2 linked regions of the Neurospora crassa OR74A genome follow. The main gene of each other region encodes a partner of the protein of the gene in region 2 in a complex. Links are inferred from orthologs where the notes say so. Each region holds a gene or a part of one and is shown on either strand. Other genes may lie near its edges.

Region 1 (3,851 bases), on a different chromosome or scaffold from region 2:
GATGAGATTGCAGTGTAGCTATTTCACATCGGGGTTCATCAATCGTATCTCGTGAGTGTTCCGGTGCGACTCAACGCGGGCTCCATCGAAAAGGGTCGGTCCTACCAAAAATCAACATGCCCGTTGAAACACGGATGAGATCGATGATTGACTCGAGACTTGGGGGCAGTCTTCTAGGCCGTTCAAGGTCCACCAAATAGCTACAACCCCCTACATCGGATACCTCGTTCATCATGCAGAGCGTCAACTGTCGGGCCGCAACGGGCTAACTCTTGATCAAACGAGTAGTGTAGAGTCCATGCCGAGGTTTGGGGAAGTAGCTAGTGCAGGACGTTCACAACTTGGTTATCAGGAAGAGATATCGTGGAAATTGATACGAGGACGTTCAAACACCCAGGCGAGCCCGAACCAACGGTGCGTATAAGAGAAGGTGAATGGCTTGCCCTCCAGCGATTGAGCTCACAACCTGGGGTGGCCCAGTGCTACGGTAAGACATTGACCAGCGGGTATACAAATTCGGTTTGTTCAATGATTCAATCGAGTCCATTTTTTTGAGGTTTCGCGGCTCTCGCCTGTTCAACAACCCCAACCCACCAATACTACAAGACGCGTTTTCTACTCTCTCCGAACTACATACTGGCTTTCGATCAGCCCATCATTCATCCACCCACAAATACACGAGTGTACAAGCCGTGAATCCTGAGATGACGAGACCATGTGCCGGTCAAAACATTCGGTTGGCAGTCAATTTCTTCCGATGATAAATAGGTTGATCCGTAAATCTCCAGCGCTTGCCGGTTCAAATGTTCCCAATCCTGGGAATTGTCTAAGAAAAAAAGTGAGGGATATCAAGGTCAACACGATGATGAGTTGAAGTGAATGTCCGCAACAACAGACACCACTTCATTGTGTGAAAGACCGACATGAGCAACACGCACTGGTTGCATCATCGCTGCAGGACGGATCGGATAAATCGACTGTGTTGGATGGATAAATCGACTGTATAGCAATTCGCGGGCTACCCCCAAGGTTAGTGTTAGGGTTAGTGGTTAGGGTTAGGTGTTAGGGTTAGTTCCGGGGGTGCAGGGGGCCGGTGAGAGGCCCCCGCATATAAATGAGAGTTCAACGCTTTAGAAAAAGTCGTTTTGAGCTTTCGTTGTCGTTGTCGAGACAATGATATTTTGGTGATGACTTGCGATCGCGAAAGTTTGGCGCGAGAGATGCCAAGCTTTGGGTCTTGGCTGTCAGTTTGTATGGGCTCCACACAGCGGATTCATCTGAGCACACAGTCGATTTATCCGGCTCGCTGCAGGAAGGCGTTATAGGTACCCCACGTTCTGTTGCTTCGACATCAGCCTCATTATGAAGTTAAAGAAATGTTTCAGCCACTTCAGCCACTACTGGTGCGGAAAAGTGGGCTGTTGTCTGTTCAATTGCATACCAAGCTCATGTACGAATTGGAAAGGTGAGCTTAGGGAGCTTGTGCACTGACCACCGAGTGGCTTGTCCAGAAGTACCTCGAGGGCGGAAAAAACACAGCTAGTCAGCTAACCGGAAAAGACATAGCCGAAGTATTCGAATGGTCCGATGCAGTGCAATACCGGAGACTTCCACTTGGGTTGAACAAGCATTTACGTCGCACACCATCGAACCTCAACCTCGTTAGCATTAATTGAGACCATCATCTCAGCTACCGTACCTCCCTCTACGTAACGTGCGTGCTTCTCCGTCTCCGCCGCCAATTACCGCCTTGCCTTTTCTTCCCCCCCGGTCTTCTCGCTTCGCAGTTCCAGCTTCTTACCGTGTGCTCTCAATTCTCATCTTCTAGTAGCCCCCTCCGTCCTTCCGTCACAATGGCCTCCTTCTTCCGCACTGCCGTCCGCGGTCCCTCCGCCGGCCTCTTCCGCGCCGTTGCCCGCCCCCAGCCCATCGCCGCCCGCGTCAGCCTTTTCAGCACCTCCAGCCGCTTCCGCTCCGAGCACCACGAGGAGACCTTCGAGGAGTTCACTGCCCGGTGAGTTTTGCCCCGGCAGCCCGGCCGGGAAGCTGCTACCTCTCCGAGCCCCGGAGGTCCCAGGCCCGAGCTAGCTACCTGCCTATCCTAGCTCGGCTTCACTATGACGTGATGCCTCCGACTCTCCTCCCCTCAGCCTCAGCCAGGGCCACCCCATCAACACCTCCATGCGCCCTCGAGAACTCCCCAATTCCTAACTTGCGCCTTTTCCAACAGCTACGAGAAGGAGTTTGATGCCGTTCAGGATGTTTTCGAGCTTCAGGTATGCACCACCTTCCATGCTCCCGTCCCACTTCGACTCTCACGGCCTACTCGACGACGCACCTTTTGCATTATCGATCAAGGGACAACAATGATTCAACTTGTTGGGTAGGGGCAAGGGAAGGAAGAGACTGTGAGACTGACGCTGGCATACCGAAATTAGCGCAACCTGAACAACGCTTTCGCTTACGATCTCGTCCCTTCCCCCTCCGTTCTCGCCGCCGCTCTCAAGGCTGCCCGCCGCGTCAACGACTTCCCCACCGCTGTCCGCGTCTTCGAGGGTAAGAGCCCCCGTCCTAACATCCATCACTGCCGCCACCGAAACCCGCACACATCGTAGCCATCGACGACCAGCCTATGCGTCAATACCAAGGTGTCCGATAAGCTCGGGTGGATAGGGAACAGCAAAACGGTCTTTTAGGAACCAGAACCATGCTGACAACGGGCTTCCGTCATAACAGGCATCAAGGCCAAGGTTGAGAACAAGGGCCAGTACGAGCAGTACCTCGCTGAGCTCAAGCCTCTTCGTGAGGAGCTCGGCATCACCCTCAAGGAGGACCTCTACCCCGAGGAGGCCAACTAAATTTAGGACCAACGTAACTTAGAAGATGCCATGAGAATCACCATTCCAACGACCCATCAATTATTCTCCCAGAATCTTTGGAAGTTTGAAAAGAGGGGATATGAGAGTATTGTGGCGAGAGGAGGGGGAGTTTGTGGAAGGGGAAAGCGTAGCGTGTGTGCTTGGAACCTATGAATAGGAGAGCGCACTCAACGCTAATTCCCTGGTACCATACATGTTTCTTTGCCTAGAGAACTCCTATTGCAGGAAGTAAGGGCGTAGTATATCCAAGAGGGCCTTAGAGAGAGGAATCGAACGAGTTCAACCTGTTTGTCGAGTTGGATACGATAACAGTTGGTTGTGTCACGGATTGTGTTTGGACGATGAATATCCCATGCCATGATCGTAGAGAGCAGCAAAATAGATGTATTCGAAAGGCAGTAATGAGTTTACCATAGATTTTACAAAAGCTGGATGCTGGTTACCATTCGTCATAAGAGATTGACCAGATTCACGATTGTCATGCCTGGTTCTACCTGGATTCTATTGCCTTTATCCATAGCAGGTAGAGTAAGTATCTAGAAAAAGGTAACCCCAATGCGCCGAGTGCCTCAACCTCTTTCATGTGCATCCCTCGATCCTCAAATGCAACCTGAGTACCTTGAACCATACAAAAGAAAATGAAAACAATCGATCTAATGAACCGTAAGATGTAAGATAGGGAGATGGGTATTGTGAAAAGATATTCCTACCGGCTGGAGAGAAAGAAGAAGAAGAAAAAGACCAATAGGTAACAAGCAATAAGCAAACAATCGTTTCACCAACCATTCCACCGTTGACAGGGACATAAGGAAAGCTGACCTGAAGCCATCTTAATCGTTGTCTTTGTCTCGGTCCTTGGTCACGAACCAGGAAAACAGCTGCAGTCATCGACCGACAGCCGAGCCATTCTTTCCTTCTCTCAAGCACCCAACGATCTCGCTCTCCGACCCCCAGGTTCGGTTCTAACTCCTA
Region 2 (3,373 bases):
TAATGATTTCCAATTGCCTCCGCGTCATTGCTTGCATGCACTGGACCGGGGTTAAACAGACAGTGCACATGGCATCCGGGCGGGCGGCGGAATGGAGCTGTGCAGATTATGCTACACTACAGTACAGTACTGCCCTGTACAGCACCGTTGTTGCCGTTTACAGGGACGGACCCAACGAAACGCTGAAGTGTTCTCGAACTGAGTGAAGGTCCAGATCGAATATACTATCGAAGCTGATATTCAATCCGGTCAACTGAGTGGCGATCATCAGCCAAGACATAAAAAAATCAACAACAGCAACAAAAAGTCAAGATGCTCAACGGCAAAAAGATCATCACCATTGGTTTGGTAGTAACCTTTGGCATCGTGAATGGTCCGGGCTCTTTGGTTGCATGTGCTTGTGATTGGAAGAATAAAGTCTGACGTCTCTGCAGGATACTACACATTTGCCCCCAGTCTCCGGGCGGAGAAGGAGAAGCGTGAAGGCCTAAACCTTGGGTGAGAAGATGAGCTTGAAACAATCAAGTGCGGTTAAGACTGGATAGACTAACATGACACCAGTCCCCCGGCCAAGCCCTCTCCATATGAGATTAGGAAGCAAGAGTGGGAGAAAAGAGAATGAGATGTAGGATGCTAGCATGGAGTAGAGTAACAACTAGGTATCGTGATCATACCATCGACCAAGGCATGAGTTATATATATATATTTGGAGGGATATGTCGGTGCATAGCTGTCCCTCTTTTTGTTTTCTCGAAACTCATGACAGCAATTCGTTTGAAACGAAGCATCCAAGGCTTCATTTTCGTTCTGCCGCGTTTACTGTACTCATTGCGGATAACATGACATGAAATATCTCTCTGCAAGGCTTTAATCTGTCTAAAGACCCTGTCGTGTCTCCCACTCCGGACAAGCAAACAATAAACTTTGTGAGACAGTGACGTCTGGCATGTGAGTTCCGTTTTTCAGCTGCCAGAGAATCGAATCGTCGTCATCCAAAAGTCAACAATGAACAATGGACACTCCAGTCAGCCCAAGGACAAAACGTCCATGGTGTGGAAACTGAAGGCGGTCCGTGCCAGCTGTCAAGAGTGTGGAATTGCCAGGTGAGGGGCTCCGTTTCTGAGCGCCAGACACGCAAAAGCTGCCCGTTCACCACTTGCCAGGCGGCCCTGGTCAGCCTGCCGTGAGTTGGCTCCCGGGAAGATACGGGGCCCCAAGCTAGGTAAACTGTGACAGCGAGTCTCATAGCGCTCTGGTTTGGGGGTGTTTTCACTGGCGGGCACTGCGTTCGGGGTGAGCAAAGTGGGCATCAGGCCATCCCAGGCATTCCTCGAGTTCCGAGCTGAGGCCGCATCCCCGTTTCGCCTACCTGCGAATCCCGTTCGCCCAAAAAAAAGCTCGTCCTTTGCATGACTTCACTCCTCGCACAAAATCACCGTCGACGATCGAGCTCCAGGCCTCCGACCACGCACGCGGGCGACTCAATTGGATCCATCTCCACCCCCGACTTCGAATCCTCCTCAACTTCCTAATCTCTGTCAGCCGACAATCCGCCGCCACCATGCTTCGCACTCCTACCGTCTCGGCCCTCGTGCGCAACGTCGCCGTTCGCGCCGCCAAGCCCACCATGGCCGTCCGCGCCGCTTCCACCATGCCCATCTCCAACCCCACGCTTGCCAACATTGAGAAGAGATGGGAGCAGATGCCCATGCAGGAGCAGGCCGAGCTCTGGATGGCTCTCCGCGACCGCATGAAGGGCAACTGGGCCGACCTTACCCTCCAGGAGAAGAAGGCTGGTAAGTGAGAAGTGGAAGGTTGAAGGTTGGCGAAATGCCGGGTGGAGCTCGACCGTCCAAGCTCCGAGCTAGTTGCATCACCAACGCCCGCCTTGAAGCTCCCCCCCGTCACCCTCACTCTGCGACAACCCCGAGCTTCAAACAAGCTTCACGAGCTCCCGGACAGCTTTGGGATCGTTGGGCGGAAATGGATCTTGTCGGCCTAGAGGTTATCGGTTGATTGATGGGTTGTTGGGGGACGCTGGGAGAAGGCTGAGGGAGTAATGGTGCGCTACATTGGAGGAGAAGAGGAGGGAAGCTCCGACGACAAACCGCACCATGACAGCCATCAAGGTCGTCTCAAGAGACACGCAGGCCCAGACCACAGAAAGACTGACATGTACTCTCTCTCAACGCAGCCTACTACATCGCCTTCGGTCCCCACGGCCCCCGCGCTCTCCCCCCTCCCGGCGAGCAGAAGAAGGTCTTGGCCTACACTGTCGCCGGTGTCTTCCTCTCTTTCGTCATCTTCGCTACCATGCGCGCCTTCGCCAAGCCCCCTCCTGCCACCATGACCAAGGAGTGGCAAGAGGCTACCAACGAGTTCCTCAAGGTGCGTCGGCTCATATCGGCTCTTTGTTGGCAACCAGATCAACTAACACATATATCACCAACAAACAGGCCCAGAAGTCCGACCCCCTCACTGGTCTCACCTCCGAAGGCTACAACGGCAAGGGCCACGTTCAGTCTCCCTCTGCCAGCGCATAAGTTTCGCATACTTTTATTGGTGCTCAGGGGTAGACTCATCCTTCGTTCTCTCGGATATCGGCCATGTCAAACGAGTCTGTGAGGATCGGGGGAAAGGACAGTGGTGGCATTGGAATGCTTTGGGGCGCTTAACACTTGGGTTGGTGTGTAAATACTGTACAGCTGACAATGCATTATCATTTCCTTTAGCCGGCGCGTTCGTTTTGTTGTCCGGTGTAAATGGGGGTCATGGGGGTTTAGGGAGATATGGAACTTGGTAGAGAAGAGTGAGCGGATGGGGATAGCTAGATTCGGGCAGTGAGGCCAAGCTCCTGGATATCAAGATGAAACGAGGTATTTGAGGATTTTGAGGGAGTAGCATCGTCACACGCGGAAAGAAGCTTCCGAGCTTTTAAGGCGCCTAGCACCTTTTCAGGATGACGTCTCTTGATCCCTGCTAGGTGTTTCGCTGCTAGTAAGAAATGACACTGTTTGTTTGTTTGTTTGTTTGTTTACTTGACATGGCCGAAAAAGGGGTAAGCTACCCTGCTCCCAGCACCCAGCCGTATCTCACTCGGTAGCCCGTACTTCGGATAAGAGTTACGGGCGATGATTTCACATCCGGGCCTTCGGGACGAGAACGCCACTCATAGTCCTGCCTCATCCAGATGCTCTTTCTTCGTCCTGATGTTTTTGCCTGCTGCGGCTGTCCCCTCGTGACCAACCGTCATCCATGAAGTTGCTGGATTGATTTCAGACTGCGTGCGGGGCTCCATCCCTCGGCGGGCTCTTCCTCCTGGCAGACATCCCATTCAATTCGTCTTTCCAGTGCTTCACCAGTTCACCTTGCT

The links. The genes of interacting proteins can lie anywhere in the genome.
Region 1: the proteins of cya-4 (region 2) and cox-6 are in contact, whole or in part, in a cryo-EM structure (PDB 8C8Q), measured with the Schizosaccharomyces pombe proteins. The link is inferred for Neurospora crassa OR74A from reciprocal best matches to the Schizosaccharomyces pombe genes cox5 and cox6. Residues at the interface, in NP_588158.2 of Schizosaccharomyces pombe: Gln74, Lys75, Gln76, Pro77, Trp78, Thr79, Ile83, Lys86, Lys87, Ala89, Tyr90, Ala93, Phe94, Arg100; in NP_593931.1 of Schizosaccharomyces pombe: Ala90, Arg91, Asn94, Asp95, Phe96, Pro97, Thr98, Ala99, Val100, Arg101, Glu104, Glu129, Leu130, Gly131, Ile132, Val133, Lys135, Leu138, Phe139.

What each region holds. Positions count from the first base shown.
Region 1 is NC_026505.1:4,303,976-4,307,826, forward strand, and holds cox-6 (cytochrome c oxidase polypeptide VI, variant), read left to right. Parts: upstream 1-1,577; 5' UTR 1,578-1,714; exon of another isoform or gene 1,715-1,828; 5' UTR 1,829-1,853; coding exon 1,854-2,014; intron 2,015-2,230; coding exon 2,231-2,276; intron 2,277-2,438; coding exon 2,439-2,556; intron 2,557-2,736; coding exon 2,737-2,858; 3' UTR 2,859-3,302; downstream 3,303-3,851. UniProt on the Schizosaccharomyces pombe protein: Component of the cytochrome c oxidase, the last enzyme in the mitochondrial electron transport chain which drives oxidative phosphorylation.
Region 2 is NC_026502.1:1,656,345-1,659,717, reverse strand, and holds cya-4 (cytochrome c oxidase subunit IV), read left to right. Parts: upstream 1-1,420; 5' UTR 1,421-1,561; coding exon 1,562-1,796; intron 1,797-2,194; coding exon 2,195-2,388; intron 2,389-2,456; coding exon 2,457-2,543; 3' UTR 2,544-2,732; downstream 2,733-3,373. Other genes in the region: NCU16537 (hypothetical protein), read left to right, coding at 313-373, 435-498, 562-622. UniProt on the Schizosaccharomyces pombe protein: Component of the cytochrome c oxidase, the last enzyme in the mitochondrial electron transport chain which drives oxidative phosphorylation.